Lepisosteus oculatus: one gene and its partners. The protein of the gene in region 3 binds, or shares a complex with, the protein of the main gene of each other region. Links are inferred from orthologs where the notes say so. Each region holds a gene or a part of one and is shown on either strand. Other genes may lie near its edges. The genes, in order: timm17a, timm17b, timm23a and timm21.

Region 1 (7,408 bases), on a different chromosome or scaffold from region 3:
CAGCGGCATTTTTAATTTAAAACGCTTGTGATAAAACCGAAATAAAGGGACGAAAATTAACATCGAATTGTAACCAGTCAAGTGGATATTCGAAAGGATTCTGTGCTTTCAGCACGAGAAAAAGCCACTTAATAATTAACTGGCCTATTTTGCGTTGCTCAGAATTAGGAAGGAAACCATTAAGTTAGATATTACATTGTTCGCATATATGTAAGCAGATACTGTACATGTACGTTATTGTATGTTTTCTAAAGGAAAACATTCAACCATAGCATACGTTTTATACATGCCTATACGTCTTGAATATTTAAATTATTATACTACTTTCCGTAACAATTCATTCTCCATCTTCAAAATTCTGACGACTTTTCCCTCGATAGTGACGTAAGATGACGTGTCTTGGGTCACCGATCAAGTTCCAACAGCTAAAAAAACAAGTTCCAACAGCTAATGTCGCTCTATTTACGTAGAAGACCATACGATTGAACAGAAGGACATTATGTCATGCCTTAGCTAAATGGAAGCCTGGGGATAAAGTTCTCAAACGCACCCAAGGCGTTTTTTATAAGAGGAAAAAAAGAGTCGTCCATACCTTTACAAAGGAGAAGATAATTCTTGAAATGATAAATTAGGCGATGTGTAGTTCAATGAAAGAGTTTTACAGGTCTTAAGTTCTCGTATGTATCGAAGAGTTTTTGAGAAGAATGATGTTCACACAGCTTTGTAAATATTTATTTTTCTACAGCTTCCAGATGTTCAACTGTTAAACGCATCATATGGATTTAAAGTGAAAAATAAAACTGTAGTTACGTTCAGATACGTTACTAATACGTTTTATCGTGATATACACCCAATTACGGTAACTTTCTAAAACGTTGCTCATGTTATAATGTGTCTCCTGTGTATCGTAAATATGTATGTTTGAAAGCGTATGGCCCATAAACTCTTTTACGACGTTATATTGGAAATGCTAATTTTAATATGAGCTGACTAGATTAACGGTAAGTGTCTGTACTTAAGAGTGTGTAAAAACACTATACCTGTATGTTGATGTAAAGGGAAAACTGACAGTACTACAATATTAATAATACCAATGTTTACTATCATGTAAATATACTGCACTTGACATCTAAAGAAATTGTCTTACAGTATTTCAGGTTACAGTGCCTTAAGTGCAAGGAATAGTACAGAAGGCAATTGTATGCACCTTTTGAGAGCAATGTGTTTTAAAATTGTACGTAAACAGTACAACTTTTGATCACAATAAAACTGAGAGTTATAACTTACAGCCTTTGAACATCATGTATTTAGTCCCACTACAATGCTACAGTGATGAGATATCTAAATATCAGGGTTGATTGTTTTAAGGTAGGCATGGAGCCAGAACAAATTTCCTTACTCAAATCAGGCTCACACTTTTACTAGACTAGATGTGAATTAAAAGTAACTTTCTGGAAAACAATGACTCATCTACCTTGTAGTCATCAGGTGGCTTTATTAAGCCCTAAAACTCTTTTATTGTGATAAATGCCAACAAACATGTTTTACAGTTTGTGATACAGTATGAGAGGCCTTTAAGGCCATGGACCGATGGATAAATGATTAGCGTGAATATTTCTCAAAAGTGACAACCAGAATAAAACACACCTTAAAAAAAAATCAGTCACAGTAAGTAGGTTACACGAGTTACGTTTTCTGTGAAATATGTTTCATGTCTATTCCACTGTATCTCTCTGATTTTCTATGGTACTTTGAGGTAGTTTCTGTAACATATTTTCACATACTGTGCTTAGGTTTCTCATTGCTAAGCTCCTTCTCCTTTTCAGACTGATTACGAACGAACAGAAGGGAAGCTCAAGCACGGGGCTCTCAGCCGCAGTTCCTGGGGGGCCCTGTGTCTTGTGGTTTTGATGCCAACATACAATACATAGTTGGTCAAACTACATAATTGACTGTATAATTGTAACACTCCAACCAGGTGATTAATAGGCAGCGGCACCTTTAATTGAGTGCCTTGTGCAATGAACTGTAAAAGACCTCAAGAGAAAATCCTGTCTGTGTCTAATTTAGAAAATAAGAAGGTCAATAGTCTGACTGCTCAGGTTGGAACAAGAACCCGAAGACAACAGGCCCTCCAGGAGGTGAGTCTGAGACACTTCTCCACAACAAGCATATTAAGGTTTTACTTCCTAAACATACATAAAGAGGCCGTCGCTGACATCTCATCAGGCTGGTGGCAGAGGTAACACAATAGGTTTGAGATTGTTCCTCCGCTTCTTGTTATCCAACAGTGTCCCTCAAAGCTGTGGACTTCCCTCATCATGCCAGAACAAGTTGGGAAATCACAGGACAGCATCCAGAGTACTCTGGCACAAAAGAAAACTCCATCCCTCTCTCTGAGACTCTATCCATGTTCTTCCAGGAGTAGATTCTTCCCCAGCAATGATTGAGAGATGTACTGAATGAAAGCTCGGCAGTTATGTTTCAGTTGCCTCCCAGCCTGTCCACCACAAACGCATACACAAACTCACAGCCCCCAGCACCAATGAAATGCCTATATTTGGTCATTTTTCAATGGAAACACAGTCTGAGGCTCATTCCATTACCATTCCTAAGAGTGGGAGAAAGGCCAAGAGCTTGTCTGACGCTCTTTAAAAGCTCTCCGCTCAGACATAGAGTAAAAAAAAAAACAGCTTATGTAAATATTTCCTTCTATCACAAAACTAACATAAATATTTATTTACCATCAGTCCCAAAGTCCTTGTCCGTTTCTTGTCTGAGTGTTTAGTCTCATTATTATCCCACTTCAGACTACGTAGCATCTCTGGACAAAGCTCATACACGTAGATTTGGTCATGCTTGTTCGAACGTCTGTGAACAGACGACCGTCTAGGTGAACGTCTGAGACAGATCCAATTTTTAACTGCTTGGGTCTGACGGAGAAACCTCCTTCGTCTCACACGTGAAAGGGATGCATTTTTGTCATCAGAGAACTTTAGTGAACCAGTTTTGTGTACAAGGCATAGAATCTGGCAGAACAAAGTGGAAACCAAGGAGAAATAGACACAAGACTGAGAAAGAATAAAAATGCTTCTATACGCAAAGGGAGGTAGGAGTGAGGAACAAATGACCAAGATATGGTGTAAATCTAGGATTCCATTTCAAGTCTTTCATGTCTGAGGAATTCAGGATACAGGGCTTGGTTTGTTTTTCTGTCTTAGGCTCTCACAATCCTGTGGGATTCATATTCCTGATAGCCTTTGTGAAATAACAAATCAGTCACACAAATTCCACACATATTTATGAAGTCACATAACCACTGTAAGAAAGGGTTAGAAACCAGCGATGCCCATTCAGCTCATGGAATGTGTCCAGTTAGTAATGGCTAAAAGATCTGAGAGCCTCATTCAGTCATTCTCTGAAGGACACCAGGACATCAGCTTCGATAACTTGGCCCAAACACGTCAGGTACCCCTGTTTAGGTCTTGATCCAGACTCCCACAATCCTTTGCAGATAAAGTCCCATGCTGGAGGCTTGAGGAAGGAACGAGAGGGAGGAAGTGAGGAGACTTTTCCTTACAAATCCTTTCCAAAGAAATCAAGGACCTGGAATGGGACTTTCTCATTCCCAGCTTTCCCTCTTCGTTGATGATGGGAGGATTCACCTGCTACCAGAGCAGCAGAGGACTGGGGGTGGGTATGAAGGGTACAGAGGTGACACATTCTTGTACAGGAATGTCCCTCAGGTCCAATGAAGGACCTGTGCCTTATCATCTGTAGCAAATGACACCCTTGCCTTGTTTCCTATGTAACAGTTCAGAACGATGTAGTCTGAATGACGTCTGACGTTGTTTTGAATACAGATCCTTTTTTCCTGAACCAGTCTTGAACATGTTTTGTGGTCTCGGTCAGCAGTATCAATTAAGTAATTAACAACCAACATAATTAAGAAACGGTCCTGCAATAATCCTACAATGAAATGGAACTGGTGCAGAAAGGCAAGCGGCTTAATAATTGATGCTTTCAGAGTTTTAAGGTAAAAAAACAAAAAAAAAGTATTTTGTTTACACAGACTGTAACTTTAAATTGAAAATCAAAATAGTAGCAGTGACACTTTAAGTTGACGTTGTCCACTACTAGGCGCTGAGTGGTCGGCACAGTGGCCTTTAGTCCTGCTGCCACAACTCAATTCAGTTCCGGCTTGGACACCTTCTCTGCGGAGATTAGCCACCCATAGCCACACAGGTTTTCCTCTGATTTCCACCCATAGTCCACAGACATGCAACTTAAATCAGGTCCGGAATTGAACCCAGGGCAATGCAATGCTCCTATCAGTCCTACCAGTTACGCATGGCGAAAATTAACTTTACATTTACACACAGTAAGAGAAGGACTAGCCCTTTAAGTCGCGCCAGTTTCTGAGAGCTTACACTTCCTGTGACGTCAGGACTCCGCCCTACTTTTTCCGCCGAGCGAGACCCCGAGAAGAAGATGGAGGAGTACGCACGTGAACCATGGTAAGTCATTATTTTTAGTATAGTGTGACATTACAAATGGTGTTTGTTTGACACAACGAGAGCTTAAAACCCCGCTAACATATGGGAATTTTTCTTCGGCGCTGTGAGGAAGGGTCGCTAACGCTGCAGTGGCCGGTGTGTCACACACTTTTTCTCTGCAGAGCCGGTCGGTGTCCTTGGCATCACAGACCGAGCCGGGTGACCTTGTGTAACCGATTTTTGTTTTACAGAAGTCGCGATTCCTGTGTATATTCTGTGTGGGCTCAATAGAATGTAAGACTGTATCCACGGTAGTCTCTTACGACCTGAATTCTTAGTTCATATTACAAGACGAGACAATTTTCCTTGTGTTTCCTGCCTCCTGGTGACGTAACCAGTGAGGGAAGCCTGTGTCTTTAGCACATTGTTGGAATCGACTAGAATGACGCTTTAAAATGAGTTCAGAAGGCATGGTGGGGTCGTTGATTGCAGCTGTGTGTACCTTTGATGTGGCAGAGTGCTGTTGATCACGCACCGGTGTTGTGTAATACTGATCCCATGCCGGTGATACGTTATGAGAGCCTGGTGTGTGGGTCACAGGCATACACTCGTGCGATTGCATTGCAGCCTCTGGTGCTTGTCGTTATTACAGCAGTGACCAGCCCTGGTCCTGGAGTGACATCCAAGCAGGTTTTCTGGGTCATCCTTAAATCATCAGAGCGTAAAGACGTGGAATGTGTGGGTTTCGATCAGCATGGTTATTGACTGTACTGAAGTCAGCCGGGCTGTGTGATGTGCGTGAGACCTACAGGCTGTTAAGATTTTCATTTCAAATGCTCTCTAAACATTATTGAGCAAACCTTCTCTTTCAGTGATGAAAATTTAAACTGGTTTCCTCCAGGTGCTCCTGGTTGGCTCCCACAGTCCAAAGATATGCTGGTGTGTGTGCTCTGTGATGGACTGTCCAGTGTATACCCATTGCATGCCAGGATATACTCCAGCTCCCTTGTGACCCTGCAGTGGCAGAGTGGTTAGAAAATGGAGGGGTATTTAGACAATACATGACTTGTAAGACCTGCTGGATGGGTGCTATCCAGAATTGGGTATGAGCGGCCCACCGCTCTCTAACAATATAGTAGAGAGGAAAGGGCTTCATTTAAAGTGCTTTGTCCGCCAGACTCAAGACTGCGCAGCCCTGTTGAGAAACCTGAACTCTTCCACCAGAGGCCAGGGTGCGGTTCAAGGGTGCGTGCTCGGTTGCGCTGTGTGATCTGACGCCTTGATGAGAACACAAGGGTAGTTCAACCTTGTCTAGCGATATTGTACACAGCGTTTTGTTTCCTTCACTTTCCCACGTGACTTGAACTAGTTTAATCTGCGCGAATTAAAGAGAAAAAGGTGAGGTAGCGGGCGGCAGGGTGCCATAGTGATCAGCATTGCTGCCTCACTGCACTGGGGTCTGGGTTCAATTCGGGACCTGGGTTGCTGTCTGTGTGGAGTTTGTATGTTCTCCCTGTGTTTTCTCCAGATGCTCTGGTTTCCTCCTGCAGTCTAAAAACATACTGGTAGGTTAATTCGTTTCTGGGAAGAACTGGCCCTAGGTGAGGGTGTGTGTGTGTGCGTGCAACCCTGAGTTGTATAATACAGTTGGATATTTGATGGATGAGTTAGGTAACTCTTTTTTGGTCTGTAATCAACAGCCTCTGCTGGCAAGGAGGGTGTATTGCAGGTGGAATCTCTCATCACTTCCCTGCACCTTTATGCTCAGTGCTCTTAGAAGCTTGCGTTCTTAACAGCAGAGAAAAGTAGCAGAGTATAAATATATCGAGTATAAGACAGAGTCTTGTACAGAGTATAAGTATGTTTGAGAATGTTTTTCTTGGCTTAGACAGATGTATTAAGTTTTTCTTGCTTATTTGATATATTTATCTGTTAAAGGGTGCACATCAGAAGGGAGACTGCAGCTCCTGTGCACTGGTTCTGTATTTCAGTACCTTCAGAATGCAGGCTGAGGCAGAGGGGCCAGTGGGACACATCCTGGGGCAGAACTGCTTCTCTCTCTCTCCATGATCGGTGGAGCAGGAAAATGTCAAATCGATTGTGCCGGCAGGTCATTAGAAAGTTATTGATGGCTTTATTTCTGCAGCCCCTGGAGGATCGTGGATGACTGTGGGGGTGCCTTCACCATGGGAGCCATTGGAGGAGGAATATTCCAGGCAGTCAAGGGCTTTAGAAATTCACCTGCTGTAAGTACTGGGACACTACTCCTCTATCGCAGGGCCTGGAGTCTCACAGCCCTGTCTTGCTGGCCAGCCTGCTTCTTTCATTCCAGCCGAACTTATTTAATGGGACAAATAATCAGGTCCTTTTCAAAGCTCTTGTCTTCAGCTCTTAACTAGTTTTAAGTAACTTGAAATGTTCAGCTTTTTGTAGCTGACATAACGAAAAGCGAATTATGAGGCTGATTTCAGGTCCATGCAGAGCTCAGTCAGAATGAAGACCAGGACTGGAGAGGGCCCCGTCTTAAGACCAGGAAGCTGAATAAATTACCCGGGCGGATCTCCGTTTCTTCAGTTCCACCATCGTGATGGAATGAAAACCAGAAAAAAAAGTGGTTCTCAGGAGAGAGAATCTATACATCAACTCTGCTGTCCTTTGCAGTTTTGGGGGGTAGTTACCTATAAAAAAGTAATTCATTCAGTTTTTAAGGTTTCTAAAATTTCACATTTTTTAAATTGCTATAATTACTCCATATTGACATCACATTGATCACCGGAACTGATGTTTTTCTCAAAATATTTCCCTGCTTTGCCCATCTCTTTTGGACCATTGACCTAGCCTGGCTCTGCTTGTCCTGTCAGTGCTTTTGTTGCCCCCTGTGTATTTAAACTAAGAGTGTGACTTTCCTTCTA
Region 2 (6,935 bases), on a different chromosome or scaffold from region 3:
CCGGCGAGCTAGCCGACTGCTTTTCCCGGCGAGCTAGCCGACTGCTTTTCCCGGCGAGCTAGCCGACTGCTTTTCCCGGCGAGCTAGCCGACTGCTTTTCCCGGCGAGCTGGCTGACTGGTGCCTGGTGCCTGGTGCCTGGTGTCCCCGTGCTGCTGGCGCGGCGGCGCGGTCACTCACTGCGTGCGGCCAGCACGGCCCCCGTCATGGCGCCGCTGGTGATGGAGTTCCAGGGGTCCTCCTTGCCCCGCAGCTTCACCAGGCTGCAGTCGATCGTGGAGAAGAGCCCGCCCCACACCGCGAAGCTGCCTGGCAAGACACACACACACACACACACACCGCAGGGCGTCACCCCGGAGCGGCTCACTGAGCAGGTCACAGGAAACCTTCAAGTTTCACAGGGGGCTAGCGTATTGCAAGCCAACAGCAGACACTGGCGGGGGAGTCTGCACGTCTTCCTTAACTGGGGGCAAAGGTGCACTGATAGACTGGAGTTTGATATGCTCTGTCATGCTTCACACATGCAAAGAGACAGCACAATAAACCTGCTTCGCTATACTGCAAAAATGCATCTCATTTGTTTGAACTGTCTTTATCGTGATTTGTTTCGCTTTTTTGTATAATGTTTTGCGTTGTGTTGTATTATAGACTTGTGTGAGAATGGCCTACTTTTTGTACCATAGCGTAACTTTAATACTGTGTATTACACTGTGCGTGACCTGAAAAGTACGTACTTTATACAATTGTGCACAAAATCTAGAAAAAAACTGAATATCTTACCAGGATATTCTGGTATCTGAAGGTGAACATCTCACCTTGTAATTTACAAATCAATTAATATTAAATACAGTACTATACAGACCTGAAACCCCATGATCTAAAGTCCTGAATGCACCAGCTCACAACTTGTGGTCTGAGGACCCCTTGTGGACAGTTATGTTACTACAGGCCATAGTAGAGACATAGTGATGTGAGAAACGTCCTGTCTTTAAAGTCTGCAAAACAGCACCAGCTATCTTGATAGGCTACTCAATACACAATGGTCACACACACACGGGCACTGTCGTGCTTGGTTTTTATTAATATATTGAGTTAATGAATAGGAATTTAGAAATTTAAGGTGCATACATCACAAATGTTGACAGCGCGTGTTTATCGTGTCTCTGTGTTGCAGCTCTTAGTGTGCCAGATCTCTGCATATAACAGTGTGTTATAAAAACCAGAAACCAGAAACAGCCTAACCGCAGCTGCGTAAAGCAGACTGAGGGGTGACACTCACCTCCGATTTGGGGCGCCCGGATTCTGACGGCTTTGGCGCTGCCCCTCAGCCTGTGTCGCATGCCCTGCACAGAGAAACGCCTCTCTGTTAGCTGCGGTTTCCCCTCAGAGACAAGACCACACGGTACCGTACTGGGAGTCCCCCGTGGCCTTGATCTCAGAAACACTGTGTATATGCACCGCAAGAACAGTGGAAGCTCTGACTGCAGTGCAGTGCTCGTACAGCACTTTCTCCTCGCCCAGCGGTTATCTGCTGAGGTGCTGGACAAGGACTGGCACGCAGTATGAACAGCAGCGCTCAGAGAAAAGCCAGAACAGGCTGCTGTGGTCCTGGAGAGTTAACGGCAATCCTACCTGACAACCGAAGACAGTTAAATTGAAGCTCTTTCCTGGAGCAGCTGTTAAACAGTTAAATGAGCTCCACCGTGCAGAGCAGGTGAGAGTCTTCCTCTACTCACCACAGGGGCGTTGCGGAAGCCTTTGACGGCCTGAAAGATGCCCCCTCCTATTGCCCCCATCGTGAATGCCCCCCCACAGTCATCCACTATCCTCCACGGACTGCAGAGGGAGACAGAGGGGGCGGAGGGGGGATCAGGGAGTGTTACAGGGAAGAAGAGGGACAGGGAGTGGAAGGCCAGGGGAGAAGAGGAGGAACGTTGGGAAGGAAAAGGGAGATCGGAAAGAGAGGGAGGGCAGGGGAACGAGAGGGAGAAGGGCAGGGAGAGGGAGATGGAGAGGGAGAAGGGCAGAGTCGAAGGACAGATTAAGAGATGGAGGAAAGAAAAGGATGAGAGAAATATGGGGAGAAATAAAAAAGAGCTATTAACAACCCATCCAACCAGTATCCCAAAGTCTCGTAATCCTAGTAGGGGCCATGGAAACTCAGAGCCTATTCCAGAACTATAGGGCTCGGCTACACTACACCCTGGACAGGACACCAGTCCCTCACAGGAGACACACACACCCCGGACAGGACACCAGTCCCTCACAGGAGACACACCCACCCCGGACAGGACACCAGTCCAACACAGGACACACACACAAATCCTGGAAGGAATACTAGTCAATCACAGAAAACCACAACCGACAAAATCAACATATTTTACAGTAAGAACACATCAGCGAAGTGTTTAAAAATAACCAAAAGCAAATCACACTGAAATACACTACTGTCAATCCTGCACTGTGTTTTGCAAACGTACGCACCGCACAATTGTTAATAAAATTAAGATCAATAACGTATACAGCCTATCCGCGTATTCAAAACACAGACGAAACCCTGATACTACAGGTCGAAGAGAAACTGTAAGGAAAACATTTGAAACGCAGCAACTATTACTGTTCACAAAAGGTCGTGAAACACGTAATACGTCAACGATTTTTTAAACAACCTGCGTGAAGAATACTGAAGTTTATTTGAGATTTGACCTGATATTTCCAAGCAGCCAAATCGGTATTATATAGATTAGGACTATCGTTCAGTTACATAACTAAACAAGCTCAACTTGACATGAGTAAAAACAAACATTTCGTGTGGCTAAAAGCCAAATAGACTCGGTATTAAAAAGGTCATAAAACACGAAGCTAAAAACGTTTTTATTATCTCCTGCAGCATTTTAAAAGCTAGCTCTCCACTGGGCTGTACATTACCAGGGCTCTCGAGCGTACTCCTCCATCTTAACCACACAAACACAACACTGGGGGCTGATGACGTACGAAGCCGGCAAGGGCAAGCGAAGAAAGCACGTGTCATGTGACAGGAGTGCACAGCCCCTCATTGTTGAAAATATAGAACGTTTCCACGTCTGGCTCAGTTGTATGCGCAGCAGGCGGCCATATTAGTAGAGCTTGAAATTCAGTCCTCGTTAGGCAAGTAGAAATCGCAGCGCAATGTTCTAGACGCTCCATAGGAAACAATATGGGTCTGTAGAAATTTTATAAACTGAATTTCAGGAGCTGGGATATAAAACATGTACAATATTAATGTACCACTGTAGCGGTGAATGCATTATATATACAACTTGTCTTTGTGTTATTTAGTAGACACATCAAAATCTATAAAACGGATACAGCCCACTATGCAATAGCAGCAATGCGAGGAGACTGCACGAACCTGTCGTTAATATGACAGGTGGTTGATCTGTTTGAGTGGACATCTATCAATATGCTTTATATGATGTAAATGCAGATAATGAGCACAAGAAACCAAATATCACTAACATCTGCAGAAGGCTTCACAGCCGAAACGTTGTTTTCTCTCTTCTCTTTTCAGCATGGAATAAACCTGTTATTTGTTCCTTTAATAACAGAAAGTTTATCAGAAAATGTTTTAACCTTATTACACCAGCTGATGGCTTAAGATTTAAACGGTTTTCAAGAAAAGACTCGTTATGCTATCAAGTATTCTCTGCACTCCACTAAGATGGCGATCCGACTACACAACCTCAATGACGTAATCTTCTCGTGCCTTTTTATCACCTTGGCGACTGAACGTTCGTCACGTGAATGCGTATGCGCGCGCGTCTGTGTGACACGTCACTTACGCGACATTGTCGTCGCTTGCCTGTGGCCGGTGTCTTAATTTGCGGCGAGAAATTGGAGATTACATTATTAAAATCAAGCCTGTGTGAACATCAGTGCGGGTTAGAAGCGCATGTGTTGGATAAGAGGGCACCGCGAGTCGGAAAACGGAGGTGTGCTGTATATTTGAGATAAAAAGGGGGTTGGAGATTCAGAGGTGGTGTCGCTGGTCCGCCTGACTGGTTTGTGCGCGGTACTCAAAGGTAAGCAGGCTGCTGTCGTGAGCGGCACATCCAGATTGTTAGACAGACGCGCCATATAGGTGACGGGCGGACGCGGTCGTCTCCTGTAGCTCTTCCAGGGGCTAGCAGCTAACCGCTCCAGCCGCCTCTCGGAAAGAGCCGCGGCGCTGGGGTCCGGCAATATGGCTGTGCAGTCACTCTCCCACGACCCGCTCTCTGTGCACACGATGCAGAAGTGCTTTCAGTGTTCAAAGTGGGAAAACCACCTCTGAGGCCTTATAGCAGAGTAACCCTTGATGAAATTAGGCAGCTCCTTCGCACAGTGTCTTTCTCTCTGTGTAGAGGTGTACAGTGCTGTGTGCAGACTGTAGTTCTCTCAGTACAGTGTTATATAGTGCAGTGCTGTGTAGTTCTCTCGGTACAGTATTATACAGTACAGGGCTGTGTAGTTCTCTCGGTACAGTATTATACAGTACAGGGCTGTGTAGTTCTCTCGGTACAGTATTATATAGTGCAGTGCTGTAGTTCTCTCAATACAGTATTATACGGTACAGGGCTGTGTAGTTCTCGGTACAGTATTATACAGTACAGGGCTGTGTAGTTCTCGGTACAGTATTATACAGTACAGGGCTGTGTAGTTCTCTCAGTACAGTATTATACAGTACAGGGCTGTGTAGTTCTCTCAGTACAGTATTATATAGTGCAGTGCTGTAGTTCTCTCAGTACAGTATTATACGGTACGGGGCTGTGTAGTTCTCTCGGTACAGTATTATATAGTGCAGTGCTGTGTAGTTCTCTCAATACAGTATTATACGGTACAGGGCTGTGTTCTCTCAGTACAGTATTATATAGTGCAGTGCTGTGTAGTTCTCTCAATACAGTATTATACAGTACAGGGCTGTGTAGTTCTCTCAATACAGTATTATACGGTACAGGGCTGTGTAGTTCTCTCAGTACAGTATTATACGGTACAGGGCTGTGTAGTTCTCTTGGTACAGTATTATACAGTACAGGACTGTGTAGTTCTGGGTACAGTATTATACAGTACAGGGCTGTGTAGTTCTAGGTACAGTATTATACGGTACAGTGCTGTGTGCTGATTGTGTCCTGTATGTCCCAGGATCAAGGATGCCCCTCCCTCCTGCCTTACTGGCTCGTCTGGCCAAGAGAGGAATTCTTAAACAGACGGAGCATGGTGAGTCTCCCAGCCCAGCCTGGATATTAATACAACACAGCCCAGCGCAGCACAACCTGTCTGGATATGAACAAAACCCAACACAGCCCAGCGCAGCACAACCTGCCTGGATATTAACACAACCCAACACAGCCCAGCCTAGATATTAACACAACACAACCCAACCTAGATATTAACACAGCCTGGCGCAGCCCAGCCTGCCTGGATATTAACACAACACAGCCCAGCCCAGCATTGATATTAACACAATACAACACAGCACAGACCAGCGCAGCCCAACACAGCCCAGCCCAGCCCAGCCTGGATATTAACACAGCCCAGCCCAGCCTGGATATTAACACAGCGCTGCAAATTTTGGATCTTATCGCATATCTGAATATGAACATGGCTATACAGTAAAGCGCAGCCCAGCACACAGTTCTTTGTACGATACAGCACAGTCTGCTTTACAGTGCTACTGGCTAGTCCAGGCACGGATGTATAATTATCAGATGCTAATATTTTAATCATTAAAGATTGAAAGCAGAGCCTGTGTAGGCGAGCCCACTCCAAGAACATGCTGCCGGGACAAGCGCGCTGTCTAGGAGCTGACATTCCAGGTGGACAGGTGTGCGGCCAGGTGTTTCCCTGCTTTCTCACGGTCCTCTGTCGTCTTCCCTCCAGAGGCCGAGGAGGAGATCATCGCCGAGGACTACGACGACAACAACGTGGATTACGAGGCCACCCGCGTGGAGAACCTGCCGCCCAGCTGGTACAAGGTGTTCGACCCTGCCTGGTGAGGAGTCCGCCCCTCGTCACCAGTTCACCGCCCTCGCCCAGCCCAGCTGCGGATTGGGCTGGCTAGACGTAAAAACACAACATCCCTTCTGATGTAGAAACCTCTTCTCCGTCACCTTCTCTCTTCCGGACCCCCCGCAGCGGGGATACGCGATCCCAGTCCTCGAGGATCTGGGCTCCTGTGGGATTTAGAGGCTCTTTTAATCGGCAAACTGAAGGAAAACAAAACAGGCCAAATACTTAGTTCAGTCAGTAAAGCAAGGACGTTCCGGCCTGGGGTGAAAACCGGAGGGAGTGGAATTGCCTGCCCCAGCCAGCAGTCTCCATCTCTTACTGCCTCTCGGTCCTTCCCAGAGTCCTCTGCTTCCCTCTCTTCCTCCGCTGTCGGGCCTTCAGCCTGGGGTTCGGGGGCGGGGTCCTGGGTTCAAATCCCAGGCTGCTGTGCCCTTGAGCAAGGCTCTTCACCCACACTGCTCTGGTCAAAGACTCATGGGTACACATGTGGGCCACCTTGGATAAGAGCGTCAGCCCAAGCAGTAGTAATTATCTCTTGAAACGCTTTCTCTGCCGCCCCGCAGCGGTCTGCCGTATTACTGGAATGTGGAAACTGACCTGGTGTCCTGGCTGTCCCCCAACGACCCCAATGCCGTCATCTCCAAAGCGGCCAAGAAGCTCAAAGGTACCGCCGCAGAGCTACAGTCAGACAGCAAGTCGCAGGCCTGCTCTCCCATCGCACACGCGCCGGGGGAGGGGGTTGGGTTTGCTGTCGTGCTTTACTCTTTACAGTGTGGCTTCTTTTCCTCGCTAGTGTCCACTAACCAGCAGAGCTGTGAAAGGAATCGATCGGGTGCTGGCCTGGAGCGCCAGTGGGTCGCCCCCTGCTGGAGGGCGAGGCTGTGGAGAGCCAGCAGTCTCTCATGTCCC
Region 3 (7,488 bases):
ATTCAGTGTCTAATGTGATCATCTAGGTGAAATGTGACCATACCGATTACTAACATGATTCTGAGTGCCTACACCTTTTTCTAAAAAGAATCACAAGCCAATCTTTCAAATACTAGTTACAAAAAAAACATTAGAACATAGGTGTACAACTCCAGTCCTCAAAGGCCAGAATCCAGCATGTTTTCCAGGTCTCTTTAATTAATCTTAGATCAGTCGGATGTTATTACAGTGCCTATAATTACTCTAACTTGATAGCAGGCTGCAAAATACTTTGAAGAGTGTTCAACTGGCCCAGTTACGCTGACAATTAGCTCAATAAGGTAATTAAGAGTAGAGGTGGAAATGAAAACCTCTGGACACTTTGACCCTCCAGGACTGGAATTAAGCAACACTGAACTAAGAGCACCAAGGCAATATGTATGCATTTTGAGGAATATATCCACTTTAGAACCATTCAATACATGGTCATGAAGGATCTAGACGCTATTCTGGCAAGCAGCAGGTGCAAGGTAGGGTACACTCTGGACAGGATGCCAGTCCATCGCAGGGCACACATATAGATACAGACACACAGACCTACTCACAGTAGGGCCAGATTCCCCAGAAGCTACTTACTTAACCTACTAGTATATCTGGACTGTGAGAGGAAACCGGAGCACCTGGAGGAAACCCACATGAACACAAGGCAAACATACAAACTCTACACGGATAGCACCCTGGAATCTGAACCCAGTGCCACAAGAAAACAGTACTAACCACTGCACCACTATGCTGCCTACTCAGGGGCTACACTACTCCAAAATCGTCTAAATAAATCAATGTACTTATGCACACACTCCCACTAGCCTCTCCATCACACCCTCCTAGCATCGATCTTAGTCATTAGCTAAAAGCTAAGCTGAAATATTGGTGTTCTAGCACTGAACTCACTATAACAGTACAGACAAGCTCACCTGCACCAGGTATCGTGGATCCACATTCAGGTAGGGTGAGAGGGGGCTCATTCCTGTCACTGTGAAGAGACAAGTGATCAGTCGGATGTTATTACAGTGCCTATAATTACTCTGACTTGATAAAGCCTTATATCCTAAGTCATAAGCAACAGTTAATATTGGGAAAGTACAGCACAAATACTGGTTCAGGACCAAGAGATCTGGACACATTCTATTTCCTAATGATGAGGTTTGCAGTCTAAAATACTCCTGTCAACAACATGACAAATGCTCAGACTAAATGGATATGCTTACATGTATTCCCTAAGATGTCTGAAAATCCTAATGAAGACAAATTCCATATAAGAGCAGCTTTATCACATTTGATCTTGATTATGTCAGATCTCAGAAGCTCAGCAAGGTTGAGCCTGGTCAGTACAGGCTGGGAGAGCTGTAAGGCAGAGCTGTCCAATCCTCGGCCCGGAGGACTGGAAGGACTGCTTACTGGCCTGGACCAGTTCAACCACAGGTCCTGCTGCTTTAAACAGACCTTAAACACCAGAGAGACAAGCTATTCAGGGCCAGGATAGAACAGCCCCACTTTAGGGGCTAAAACTTTACAGTTTCTGCTATAAATAGTGTTGGCAGATCAGAAGGTGTAATTCTTTCTCCTTACATCACGACTTTGAAACATATGCTACAATATGGATATCACAGAACTGCTTAATGAAGTACTACCTTTTGAAAGAGACATTAACCTGAGATTCTGATGTGTCCATTAAAGTTCTCATGGCACAGTTGATAAAAGTATGTGTGTTCTGTCTGGTGTCCTGAGCAAATTACACAATCCTACCTAAGGTCTAAACCCAGCAGCTATATCACCCTGCAACTCACAACTGACAACCCACTGAAGCTCAGCAGGTGTACGCCTGGCCAGTACCTGGATGGGAGAGCTCCTGGGAAAGCTAATGTTGCTGCTGGAAGAGGTGTTAGTGAGGCCAGTAGGGGGCGCAAACCCTGTGGTCTATGTGGGTCCTACTGCCCTAGTATAGTGAGGGGGACACCATAATGTAAAAAAGCCACCATCCTTTGGATGAATAATAAAACTGGGCCCTTACTCTCCATGGACATTAAAAATCCCAGTGCATTTCTTGAAAGAAGTAGGGGTGTTCCCCTGGCCTTTATCAATCATGGCCTCCTAATAGCTGGCTTTATCCCTCTGTTCTTCCAATGATAGCTGATGTGTGGGGAGCATACTGGCATACTTTAGCTGCCGTTGCATCATCCAGGTGGGAGATACACACTGGTGGTGATGGAGGAGAGACCTCATCGCCTGTAAAATGTTTTGAGTGGTGTGTCCAGAAAAGTGCTATATAAGCGCAAGACTTACTATTAACCAAGGTTACAACTTAAAACCTTAAAAGTGACACCTGACAAACCTTACATGACATCTAGGAGGTGTTGTACGTCAGCGGTGGTGGTTAAGTCTGGGTCCCCTTCTATAGATAAAGCACTTAGGGATATATTGTAATAGACTGTGCCATCTACACACACAGGGAATTATTAATTAGTTATACGATCGTGAACATTTCTTAATAGATGGTCACATCACGAGGATGATCCGTAATAATCCTATCGCTAACAGCAACAGCCGATATACTCACAAGGCACCCCGGCGAGCTCTGTGTTTGAATACTCGGGGGCTCCCCCGCCGAACAGACCCCCGAGCCCGACTTTCGAGCCGCCAGCTCCTGGCGCGCTGTTATCCATGGTGCTCTGGTGACAGGCAGAGAGAGGAGGAGAGGAAATCAAAGGTAAGCGTCACTCGACTGTGATACTATCACTCTAGCAGTATGTATGTCCTTTTCCCCACAACCTCCTGGGAATCAGGGGTAGTGTAAAAAACTTCTAACCTCTGATCATTTCCTTAAAAACGGAAACACATCACCGACGTGATCTGTGTTACGAAATTATCAATAGCTTTCCTTACTGTTTTATAAATGAAGATCCAATATTGCCTTCCTGTCTCCCTTGTCTCTGACCTACAGCGCACACTGCCGTAAAGCAACACAGTCAAAACGTCATCAAACCGCGCCACCGCTGATGAGAAAATAGATGTGTGCCAATGCGTAAATTATCTAGTCTTACAATATATAAGTACACTGCTTGATCTGGTCATAATATCTAGAAGAATGGTCAAAATCTTGTGAAATTTACAAGAAACATTGACACAACCGTTTATTAAAAAGTTGTTTCCAGTACAACTTAAGCCGTGTTGATTTGTTCTGTATGTATATACCCCTGTTTGTTGTATTATCCCTTTTTGTAATAAAAAATAAAAATATATATTTTTTAAAAAGTAGGCCTTTAGGATATTAACGACACTTTTGGAATTTCACGACGGCGTGTGTGAGTGGGGTCGCGGTTTTGTTACGCAAACTGTGGCAGATGTGACCAGGAGTGTGTACTTCCAGAATGGCTCCGTGACGTCAATAGGAAATAATAATAATAATAATAATAATAATAATAATAATAATAATAATAATAATAATAATAATAAATTAATACTTATTTATTACAGGTCAGATTATCTGAAAAGTTGCTTTGAGAGAGTGTGTATGTAAATTCAACACGTTTTATTATTCATCTGCCAATACCGTTTGAAATCTGTTTATGGACACAATATAAAACTAAAAATGTGATCATCTTTGCATCTGAATGAAAGTGTATGCATATATATTTTTTTTTTCGTATTAAACTAACAGAATCAGAGAGAACTACTGCTTTGGATGCTCAACTATCTTTTTTCAATGTATTTTTAGAATTTAAAAAATTATCTTTTGTAAATCTATTTTAATCTCTTTATGGAAATAAATTATGAACGAGAAGGAGAAATGAGGGACAAATGGAAAAAGCAGCTTGTAAACAGCAATCCTAATAAATGATGGGCATTATAAACCTGCCACTCAGATGGGTTAAGACTGTGCTTCAATGCACTAATTCCACCCCCCTTTGCTTTTTCGTAGTTTTTCATACATGGCCAGCAGCCATATCACCCTGCAACTCACAACTGCAGCCCTCTGAAGCTCAGCAGGTGTGATCCTGGTCAGTACCTGGATGGTTGACCACCTGGGAAAGCTAAGGTTGCTGCTAGAAACCAGAAAAGCACTATATAAGTGTAAGCAATTATTATTATTATTTTGTCCCCTGTACATCAGAAGCTACTTGCCACCACCAGGAAACATCTTACCTAAAAGACAGCTAGGTGTTTCTGACCAGCTTAGATCAGTCAGAAGCACCACAGTTGTAATTTATTGCATTATGTCGAAACAACAAGTGACATGCAAGGTATAACAGAATCCACAGCTAGAGTACGGTGATGATGGTGACAAGGTACTTTAAGTGGACTCTGTATTGTTTTTTGTGGTTCCATAAGAACATACCTGAATTTAATTACCAGAAAGGTCTTGTTCATTCAGACCCCCATGTCCTTTCATCAGCCCAGACGAAACCATCATGCAAAGTGATGTTGACTGCAATTAGCAAACTGAAGAGAATTCTCTTGATTATAGTGAAGCTTAGAGAATGGGCTCACTTTCTGTCTCAGTGAAGACAGAAAATCTTGTGGCCTCTGAGCATAGCCAGAAAAGGAAAGCATATCCAAAGTATGCTCATAAACTGGTGACTTGCTATATTTTATTGGACTGCACCACTTCCCTGTTCTCCAACACATGCATTTTAGCAACACAAATTTCTTGATAAAATGTTGGTAGAACCTTTTACTGGGCAAGATCTAGTTAGAGAGAGTAAGAGGGGCAGGGCTCCTGGTGAGGTGGACTCACGAGGTCCAGAGGGATCGGGCGCACAGGCCTGAGACTGAGGAGAATGCCGCTGGAGGCAGGCCAAGGTCCTCCAATCTCTCTCCATCTTCCCTTCTGGCTCTCCCGTAGAATTGAGGAGTCTTTAAGCATTAATTCCAGGTGTCTTGCTCTGGATCCAATGCCGTTATCTTTTTCGGTTGGCGCTGAACCCATAAATTCCAGAATTCTGTCCTTACCACTTTACCACTGACTTATAGTTTGGGTCAGGGGGGCTGGTGAAAACATCGATATATCACTGGACTGTGGCATGCCTCCCAAGACATGTCCCAGGAAATAAATGAAGATGTGTGTTTCACCGTTATCAAACATTGCATTCATTTTCAAACTTATGACTCAGCATGCGGATCAGGGACACTGTGCTGTAGGAGGCGGCTGTCCTTTAGATGAGATGTTATACTGAGGTCCTGAGTACTTGATCATTAAAGAAACAATTGTACTGTTTAAAAGAGTAAAGGTGTTAAAATCCCGGTGTCCTAGCTCATATCCATTTTCTACAGTGTAGCCTCCCTAATGATCTCCTTTAATTCAAACTTTCTTACTACTCCACATGACCTACTGTGAAGTGGTGCTGTTTGTGCATAATGGCTACACAGCCTCACTCTGGTGGGTGCCCAGCTACAGTGATGGATGAAGTGGGTACAAGATTCTCAGGGTCCTTTAGAATTAAAATTTGAATAGAGATGGTTTTTTTTTTCTGGCAGTTTATATGACATCAAAGCACAGAAGGGAATTGTTATTGAAATCAAAATTCACAAGGAAGTTGTGTTATTAAGAAGATTTTTATTACATTTCTTATTCATACATCTATTAATAACAAAACACGTTGCTGTAACTCCTCCAGTTACAATAGTAAAAATAGAAAAAAAATGTAGAGAAAATACCTGTAGCACAAATCCATTGTACTGGAATCTGTAACATTGATTATGGATTAATTGTTGTATTGGCACTGGCCATTAATATCATTAATGTCTGTTGGATGCAACCAGAATCGGCTGCTGTTTCGGTGATATGTTAAAGCCAGGCACTGCACTACCCTGTGTTGTCCAGTCTATGTTGCTGTATGAAGTGTTTTCTTCAGCTGGGATCTGCAGGATGAGAAAATAGGTAGCTCAGCCTGATGACAACAGTAGAGGGAGCCATTGATCTGCATTAGAGAGGAGTGTAACCTGTAATTGTGAGCAAAAAATGACAGACAGAAGATGGACCGATGACAGAGGTGTGTAAGGGCTTCGTTGGAAGATATGGACAAGTGATTACATTGGTATAGAGAGAATAGAGTTAACTTAGTGTTTTATTTCTAATACTGTACATGTGGTACAAATGGTCATTTGATAGGAGTTTTAAGTCTAGTGATAATGTGTTGTGACCCATCCCCTAAATGAAACTTTTGTCAAATTATGTCAATTACAAAAACACACAGAAATTGGAAAAACTGGATAGCTGAGAAAGGGTTTGGATTTCAGTCTTCAGTGTTACAGCCTGCTTCCCTTCAGTTTCCCACGGTTGCTAAAGTGCTGCAGAGAGAGCAGTTTCCTCACCCTTGCTGTCCAGAATGTCGATGACAGGACCTGCAGTATCCAGCAGGGAGCTCCACTCTGGATCCTCAATGGCATCGAGGAGAATGGACACCTCTGCCTCCAGCTTTCCTACTGCATCTTCCACACGCTGAGATGGACACAGGCCATACAAAATAGAGAGCACTGTGAGCAGAAATCTTTCCTTTTGCTATCTTAGACCTGGAATGTGACACTTTGGTGACTTAAGGGAAGACGAATTAAACTAATCAAAACAGGGGTAAGACAGACATATTTTCAGTTACTAGTAACCTGTATCCTTTGAAAAAATATTAAGCAAAGGCGGTGTAACGAGAATGTTATCTTGTGTGGTGTGGCAGTGCTAGAGTCCAGAATGCCGAAGCTCAGGATGAAGGTGTTCAGCCTGTTACCTGCTCCACTGCGTTCAGCTTGTGGTGGAGGGTACGGTGTTCGTGACAGGCACTGACATGGGAGGCTCTGGGCAACAGGCCAGGCCCAGGTCCTGTTGACAAAGCAGAGGGTGGCCGTCAAGATCAATCAGCTTCAATATGAAAATTAGCAGGTCACGAAGGGAAGGCGCAAAAACAAAATGCCACAAGTCATTTGTCTTACAGTGGAAGTCAAATAACGTCCCGTGGTTTGTCTCTTGTGTTTTTTCTAAATGTACTGTAGGTGCCAGACTGGCTCACGAGGTGGATTAAAAATCTGACTCAAACCATCATTCTTATTACAGGCCAGTTCTCGATATACAAGAACTATACATGCACTCCTGAGCAAAACAAAGCTCCTATAGGAATACAGTAAACTGGGAAGTTTGCATGTGAAGGTGGGTGAGAGTCTTGGTCCATTCCCAACCACAGACTTGACATCGTAAATTAATATTAAAAATAAGTATATAGTTGTACTAAGTGTCATTTTTTAACTGTTTCAGTTCATGAAAAACGTGAAGGCAGGACTGTTGTTAGTGGTGTGTGGTGAGAGGTGTGGAAAATGCTTGAAAAATGTGCCCATTAGGCATACAAGCATTGTGAGATGAGCAGTGCCTGGAAGAACAGTCATAAAAAGATTTTCCAGCTGTCTGTGTATCAACCAGTATATCCTATTCATCCCTTCATGTGTGCCTGTACTGGCTCCGACACT
Region 4 (7,999 bases), on a different chromosome or scaffold from region 3:
AAGGAGAGAGTCAATGAGGGCTAATCAAAACAATCCAATGTGCTCTGAGGCTTCAAATGTATAGTAGGTTATAAATAAAAGTGGTTGCAGTTTTTATATTGTGGCTACATAATACAAACAACAATAGATGAATGAGAAATTGAACAGAAATGATTTTTTAAACTGAACTCATAGGACTGTAGAATAATTGAAAAAGCATACGTATTAAATACTGAAGAAAAAGAAAATCAACCGATTTGTAATTAAGACAAAGACACACAGTCATGCAGAAATTATGGCTACCAACTCCTCCACCTAATACAGATTCAGAAAGCTTTTTTCCCCCCAAAAGAACAGAATGAAGACATGGCATCTTAATTCACTATTTGCAAAAATGAAATTCAATAGCCCTCATTCATTTAGTAAAAACAATGCATGCAAATGTGTTCAGCATGTTAAAGCAATACAATGGATGAATTTATCCATGATCCCAAACTCATGATTGTGCATAAAAGCAGTTGATATGTTTCAGCTCCCATCCATAATGACCATGATGTAGTTTTCAGTGCATTAACCTCAAACACTGAGCTGCCAGCAACACATTAACATTCTGCAGAGTTAAAAGGTGAACTGACAGATAATTAGGTAATTAATAATAGCTTGTTATACCTCAGGAAAGCCTTCCTTTGTTTACATGGTTGTCATCTGCATTTGTACTTGCAATGTTCACTGATAAATTGCACTGAGTTAATAATCCAAAGACATTAATGAAAACTAATGAAAAACTGACTGGATCGTTTTCTACATTAAGACTGATGAAAAGATCATAACATCAAACATAAATACAGTTCTAGAAAATGGCTTGTAACATCCATCATCTCCAGGCTGTTTTAAAATGGACTGAAGAAGTGCAAGGTTGTTCTTTTTTATCCAGGTACCATAAAACACATACTCCTACTAATTTGGGATTTTTGGAAGTAAACTGTTGAATATGTAAGTAAAACAAGCAAATCTGATTAAATCTTTAAAAAGTGACCCACCAGTGTCTGTGTTCAAATACTGGGTTTTTGCGAATCTTTACTTTGATAAAAGACAAAGTAATGTTTCACCTCAGTTCACACCTCGCTGTCTGACTTCTTATCTCTTTGGTCTATCGAATTGCATTCATCCACCATGCAGTGGACAACAGCCCCGGATCTGTGTTTTGACATATTTTTAAATCTTACACAGTTTTAGGATATGCAGTTCAATCTGTTTTAAGAGGACGTGCTCCAGCGTTGTTCTTGCACAAACATTGTTCCTGCTTACAGACACAGTTCACCCACACAAAGGCCAATGAAACACTGCCCCCCCCACTCCTTTGGGATAGAATTGCCATCACAGGCTCCAATGTGGATCTCATGACTGGGTGAGCGCCTGGCTGAAGACAATACAGGCAAGTGCAGGGTTTTGCATAACTTCTGTAACCTTTCTTATGTTTTCACGCTCTTGGTGTTTCTGTGGATTGCATATGGTACAGGTACATTATAGCATTCTAATTTGAAACTGATTTCCATATGTGAAAATATAATAAATCTTAGATGCACATAACTGATGTTAAATTGATGAAACAATAAAAACACACCCGTTTTCCGTAATGAATGTGTATTAACAGGAAGCTCCTGTCACCTTGGTCACGAGAACTTACCTGTTACTCCAATCCCAACAAGCACCACAATTAGATACGTGAAATCCTTCCCAGCTTTCTTGACTGCAAGGAGGAGAAAAGAGAGCACATTACTGTTTCTCTTTTTAAAAATACTTGCCAGTCTAAACAGTCTGGGAACACTTTTATTATTATTAGAGTGAGCCCTTTAAACAGAGCAACGCGGCACTTGTGCCCAATTTTACAGACTTATTTTACTTCAGCAGTCTGAGTGCAGCCCCGTGCTCGGGAACACAGCAGCAGTGCCCCTGGGATTTGAACTCCCAACCTCCCCGTCTTAACCTAACCACCACTCTACTCTGCTGCCCAGCAACACTTATACACACTTGTTTCAGAATTTCACTCTAACCCACTTTCCAAAGGAGCATTCTTGCAAACACAGTTCATTTGTCCACCAAGAACAAAGACCTACCAGAAACCTTTTAAGAAAGGATACAAACGAGATGGGGACATTCAGTCCACCTACAGTAGCTAGTTTGGTAGCTTTTACCCAGCTGTTTCTTGAACTACACCAGGATATTGGCAAGGTAGCTTGTTCCACACTCGCACAGCCCTTTGAGTAAACTTTTAAACGCAGTTCCAAGCAGTTTCCATTTTTGTCCTCTTGCTATTGTTTCACTCTTAAATCCACTGGCTTGACACTGTCATTGCTTTTGGACAGCGAGGGAAACTGGTATCACTGTCTTCCTGCCTACACCAATGAATTACCGGGAGGCCACCCAGCTCCACCGTGAGTACCTTGTCCCAGATAGCGTCCAGGGCAAATCGCGACCTCGGCTCCCGGGCCAGTCCCTCACCTTTCTGGGCTGTGGACAGTGTCGAAGTGTCGCCTCGGCGCCCCTGCGCGGGTAACTGCCCTGAACTTTCATGCTTCCCCCTTCTGAGCCCGGGATCGGCCAGGACGCCCAGTTTGGGGACGTGCAGGGCGCTGCGGAGCCCGGCCGCACAGACGGACCGCACGGCAGCTGTGGGCGAGGCGCGCTGCAAGCTCCCGCCGTCCCTGTGCAACTGTCGGTAGCATCGAAAGCCGCAGCACCGGGCTGACCTCACCTGCTGGGACTTCAGTATCAAATAAAACAGCATGTTGCCCCTTCGAAATAAAACTGTCACAGTTGTAAGTATGCTAATAAAAAGCGACAACAACAAAAAATGGGCTTTGGGCTGACCGAACGCAATGTCAAAAACAATACACCTAAACTTTGCAAAATAAAAAAAATCCGCGTGTATTTGACTGATAGTAACTTTAATTAAGAAGTCTTCGGTAGGTAGTCCACCAAGAACCTCGCCATTGCAGAGTAACGCTATGCAGCTGTGGGATTGTAGGAGTTGGAGTTTTCGCGTAAGGCAAGTTGAGCGGTATCAGCGAGGCACTCGTGAGAGGCAAACTACAATTTCCAGCATGCACTGCGCGCACCGTTTCAAGCCAGCGAGCCTGTTGATCGGGGCTCGATTAGTGATGCTCATCGTGTTGCAAGATTGTCGCCTAATACACGCGAGTTGCTATGCTACTTAATTTTAATTTAATTTGTATCATAAAATAAATCAGAACCATATGAACTTGGTTAACTATAATGTGTCAATATGAAATTATATTGTTGAAATTGAAAATTATCCTTTGTTATAAGGAATTCGATTTTGATATACATACATAATAACGTTTTTTTTAAAATTTTAGTGTTAAGTATTTATATTGCTAAGGACACGTTCCTTTTATATATATTTATAGTTGTAACGCATACGGCCTCCATTGCTCGTGAGAGCCGGCTGACCAGCGCGGTGACGTCACCGCCCTTCCCTGTGAATAGCAGGGACCGCAGCCGCCGGGCTGACGGGAGATTCCCCTTAGGCTCAAGAGGCTGGGTCCCTGCTGAGTGACGCTGGAGGCCCGGGTTCGAGTCCCCGAAGGTGGGGGGCCGACGTGAACGCCGTAGCGTTACAATACAAATGTAGTCCTGACCGGAGCTGTGATTTCATTGGTTTAAGCCCGAAAGAACAGAAACCCGCTTACAGTAAAATGATCACAAAAAATGTCACAACAATATTAGACAAGACAACTGAAAATCTGATACTAGATGTAGAGATTACGATAAATTAAATGTAGAACAACTGGCCAAAGTCTCTTGGATTTATGACCATGGAGAAAACGTGATTTAATTCAGAGATGGTTGATCGACAAAGCTGTCTGTAATTGCATATTAAAAACAATAATATTGTAGCGCAGTGGTTCTCAAACTGTGGTACGCGTACCGGCAGTGGTACGTGGCGTGCCGCCAAGTGGTACGCCAAATGACCCTGGAACTGTGTTGTGTGCGCTGAAAAAATCGGGACGGATTTTCATATTTTGTATTTTTATACGTGTCGAATACGCAGCCTAGGTGCTACGATACAGTGCGCGCTAATACTTCAGTGGACACAAGAGATACTCTGTAATTCTATACCACTCTATAGGAATGCGTGCTACGGACGCAAGTGACCAATTGTATTTAAAAAAAGCTACTGTATCTCCAGCAAATAGGGAGAAATGAGAATGTGCGTGATTTTGGAACAATGCCAACGTTGTAAACACAGGAATGCATAGAAATGCGTTCTACGAACGCTGGTAATCTTGTGAGCACAGAAAGGCGTGAAAAATAACAGAAAATTATTTTAAAATTGTTCTAAGTTAATTTGACAAAAATACACCGAGCGTCTCTGTGTTTCTCTCCCATGCGCATGAAATAAATACTTAAAATAAACACTGAAATAAAAACGGAAACGTGGAAAAATGCACGCTTGCGGATTGCTAAAGCAGGTAAGCCCCACACTATTAGGTGTGGAGAAAAAGCTGCTGAACAGATCGACCTGCTGCCTCCCCCCCGAAAGACACAGTCATTCATAGAATTATTGAAATGAAATATGATATCAAAAGTACGCTGACAGCGCGAGTTAAGATGAGCAGATGTTTTTCACTGCAATTAGATGAGTCTGTAGTCGATTTGGCCAATTTGCTCGTTTACGTTAGATAGGAGTTTGAGGGTACGTCCCGTGAGGACTTTCTGTTCTGTAAGCCGCTACCAACAGGAACTACAGGAGAGCACGTATTTCAGCTTTCGAATGAATTTATCGCAGAGAATGGCATCGACTGGATAAAATGTGTCGGAGTTTGTACAGACGGTGCTAGAGCAATGACAAGCCGACACAGCGGTGTAGTTGAACGAATTAGAGAGGTTGCTCCAGAAATTAATGGTTTCATTGCAACATCCACCGCGAGACCTTTGCCGTCAAGAAAATGCCTGACGATTTAAAATCTGTTAAGACTGTTGTGAATTGTATCAAGGCTCGAAAAATTAATTCACATCTGCTTTGCTCAACTAAACAGGCTCACCCCTCTAAACAGGTGCTTTTTTATTTTTATGTGTTGTTTTTTTTCTGTAAAACACTTTGAGAAGCCACATTTTAATATATCAAACAAAGTTTATTATTATAATATTTATTATATGTATGTGTGAGTGTGTGTGCACATGCGCTCATGTTGGTCATTGATAGTTTCTGGGGTTTCTATGAGATGATGACTTGTAGGTGGTACTTGGATGCTTTGGTTGGATTAGGGGTGGTACTTGGTCCAAAAAGTTTGAGAACCACTGTTGTAGCGCATTCGCCTGGCGCTGCAGCCGAAGAGCGCCCGGCTGGGGTGCGCGGCGAGAGGCAGGACGGGAGTAGTAGTGGTCGGGGGGGACTAGTAAAGCCGCTGACCAGTGCAGCTGACCCACTGTACTGGCGTACATTCTGGGGAGATCACTCGGATTCTTGTAAATAGTTCCCTGGTTTCGCACCAGGTACGAAATACCTGCCACCCTATACCGGTGTAGGTACCCGAGTAGACCCCAGTGTGTTGCTCTTTCTCGATTCTCTCAGGCGCTTGCTCGTTTTTTTCCAGAGTCAGTCTTCTGCTCTGCTGGGGCGCGGGCGCAGGTGTGCTGTGATTGGGTGTACCGAAGTTTAATAAAAGCGCTGTTTTCTTAACTCAACGAGTGTCCGAGTCACCGAGTACGTCCTCGCCGAGCCCGAAACTTTTAATATATATATATATGCTTTTCTCTGTATATATGATGGAACAGTATTTTTTTTCTTTGTAGTAAATTAATGCTGCTCATGTATGACTGACGTTATGATGCACAAAGGTGGTTATAATGCAGAGGAAATAAATTCAATGGACTCGAAATCGGTGCACACTGCGTCGGAAAGGCTGTAAAGGTGGCGCTATGTTAATAATGATTCCGGAGCGCATCGCTTGTTCTGCGGGACCGTGGTGTCGTGCAGTTTTAATTTCTCCCTGGACTTCTAATGATCTTTCTTGAATGAATTGCTGACTTAATTGTTCTAGATTTGAAGGTCTCTGTGTAACGCTGCTCAGTGTGCTGAAAGTGTTACAGACGTGACCTCAGCCCCGTCTGAAATCTCTCTCTGTGACAGGGGCCCGGGCAAGTGAGTGAGGCGGCTTTGTGCCGTTTCCCTCACACTCACACAAAGTACAGGAAAACCATTAACACACTTTGTTGAGCAGATTCTTTAAAGAAATGCCAGGTTTTTACTTCATGGAACCACACACGGATCTAGGGAATCTACCAGTCTAGAGGCAGTATTGTTATTTGCCTGGTACTGGAAGTAAAGAACTAGGAAGTAGTTGCAATTGCAGTTCTAGTGTACCAACAAATTGGAAAGAGCTACTGCTGGTAAATGTGTATTTTTTTCTGCTGCCATTCACACCCAGGCGCTTGTAAGTAAATGGGTTACATGGTGGCATGCCTGTCAGTGATAACAGCAATGGTTTATCAGCAACCTGGGTATTACTTGAAGTTCATTAACCCATCTGGGACTAAACAGTTAAAGCGTAATTAAAAAAAACCCTATTTGTAAATAAACACCTAGTATGGAAAGTACAGGGGGCAATGCACACTATGGGATGGTATATAGAGTTATAGAAAGACAGTATGATTGTGTAATCATGGATCTGATACCTAGCAGAATAATTAATTAATAAATAATCTCACTTTATACAAAACCATGTTTTTTGGATCTTCTGGAATTACTATGTACAAGTTAAAAAGATTCTGCACAAACGGGTGTTCTGCAGAAATGTCCTCTCCCTTCTGGAAAGGAAATGAGATGTTTGGTGGCAATCGACTACAGATCAAAATGTTGCTATGCTGGCAGCCCCCCCTGCACAGACCTGAGTGAGTCTGTCACACAATGTCAGCAGTGCACCCCCGAAGACTGCTGTCAGATCAGCCCTAGTCACCCCTGTATACTCCTGTGTATAATCAGCATGTACAGAAGGTGCTCATTGCTGTCTTCTCTTTACCTCTCCTGTTAAATTTACTGTCTCAATCAGATCAGGGACTGAACAGGCCAAGACACCTATTCCAGAACCTGTTGACTTTATTTCTGGATTAAGACACCTACAGTACAGCAGCTGCAGTCCAACTGTGTGTTAATGGCCATTATCACCAGTGAATCGCTTTCCTGAGGGTATTGCATGATAGTGAAGATTGAAATGGTTACATCTCTAAACTACTCAAGACCTCCTTGCTGTTGCCACACGTGCAGTGCAGTATGTGTTTCCCTGCATGTTCTGATATTCTGATGGGTTAAGGCTGTTCCTATTTTAACATTGTTTCATATGTTACACTCTTCTCTTCTGCTGCTTTAACGAAGCTGAGAGCTGGCTGGGAAAAATTAGTCTGGATATTTTTTTTTCTCTTTTTTCCCTATTCGATCTCTGCTATTTGATTTGGCATAGCTACCAGTTTAGTTGTTTCTGTTAATTTAATTCTACTCCCTGATGTGCAAAACACAGACTTTAATTTCAGTTTCTTTCACAGAATGCCATTACTTGTGAAGGGTAGTTATGGCAACATGAACATGCCACTGTGTCTGCTCTGCCAGCAGTCCTGGAAATTCACCTTGTTCCCTCCAGCTCTGCCTTCTTTCAGGTTCCTCGTTCAAAGACCCAGCAGTCGATTACACAGCCAGGTTGCTGGCTGGTGTCATATCTTCACATATCACTTGTCTCAGGTTTTAAACAGATCACATATTTTAGACCATCTAAACAATGCAGTATGATCTGTACTTGGGATTAGAAACCAGGACAGAGAGAAGAAGGAGTTTAGGTTTTAACATCTACAGCCTGAGATAAAACAAGACAGAGCCAAAGAAGTAATGCAGCCATACCTGACATTCAATAATACTCCTTAAGCAAAACTTTTATAAAGTCATTAAATATGTTTAATTTCCTGGCCAAAATAAACAGAGTATTGAAACATTCAGTATATGTGT

What was found.
Region 1: timm23a (region 3) and timm17a share a complex: the UniProt entries of both Homo sapiens proteins name them as parts of the TIM23 complex. The link is inferred for Lepisosteus oculatus from reciprocal best matches to the Homo sapiens genes TIMM23 and TIMM17A.
Region 2: timm23a (region 3) and timm17b share a complex: the UniProt entries of both Homo sapiens proteins name them as parts of the TIM23 complex. The link is inferred for Lepisosteus oculatus from reciprocal best matches to the Homo sapiens genes TIMM23 and TIMM17B.
Region 4: timm23a (region 3) and timm21 share a complex: the UniProt entries of both Homo sapiens proteins name them as parts of the TIM23 complex. The link is inferred for Lepisosteus oculatus from reciprocal best matches to the Homo sapiens genes TIMM23 and TIMM21.

The regions. Positions count from the first base shown.
Region 1 is NC_090700.1:30,240,420-30,247,827, reverse strand, and holds the start of timm17a (mitochondrial import inner membrane translocase subunit Tim17-A), read left to right. Parts: upstream 1-4,407; 5' UTR 4,408-4,491; coding exon 4,492-4,517; intron 4,518-6,642; coding exon 6,643-6,742; intron 6,743-7,408. UniProt on the Homo sapiens protein: Essential component of the TIM23 complex, a complex that mediates the translocation of transit peptide-containing proteins across the mitochondrial inner membrane.
Region 2 is NC_090697.1:75,085,256-75,092,190, reverse strand, and holds the start of timm17b (mitochondrial import inner membrane translocase subunit Tim17-B), read right to left. Parts: upstream 3,011-6,935; 5' UTR 2,954-3,010; coding exon 2,928-2,953; intron 1,836-2,927; coding exon 1,736-1,835; intron 1,343-1,735; coding exon 1,279-1,342; intron 309-1,278; coding exon 180-308; intron 1-179. Other genes in the region: pqbp1 (polyglutamine-binding protein 1), read left to right, coding at 5,168-5,234, 5,898-6,009, 6,590-6,690. UniProt on the Homo sapiens protein: Essential component of the TIM23 complex, a complex that mediates the translocation of transit peptide-containing proteins across the mitochondrial inner membrane.
Region 3 is NC_090699.1:43,720,905-43,728,392, reverse strand, and holds the start of timm23a (mitochondrial import inner membrane translocase subunit Tim23), read right to left. Parts: upstream 3,020-7,488; 5' UTR 2,923-3,019; exon of another isoform or gene 2,846-2,922; intron 2,709-2,845; 5' UTR 2,703-2,708; coding exon 2,597-2,702; intron 1,013-2,596; coding exon 954-1,012; intron 1-953. Other genes in the region: placenta-specific protein 9-like, read right to left, coding at 5,923-5,957, 6,352-6,478, 6,759-6,850. UniProt on the Homo sapiens protein: Essential component of the TIM23 complex, a complex that mediates the translocation of transit peptide-containing proteins across the mitochondrial inner membrane.
Region 4 is NC_090701.1:376,390-384,388, reverse strand, and holds the start of timm21 (mitochondrial import inner membrane translocase subunit Tim21), read right to left. Parts: upstream 3,018-7,999; 5' UTR 2,768-3,017; coding exon 2,482-2,767; intron 1,730-2,481; coding exon 1,667-1,729; intron 1-1,666. UniProt on the Homo sapiens protein: Participates in the translocation of transit peptide-containing proteins across the mitochondrial inner membrane.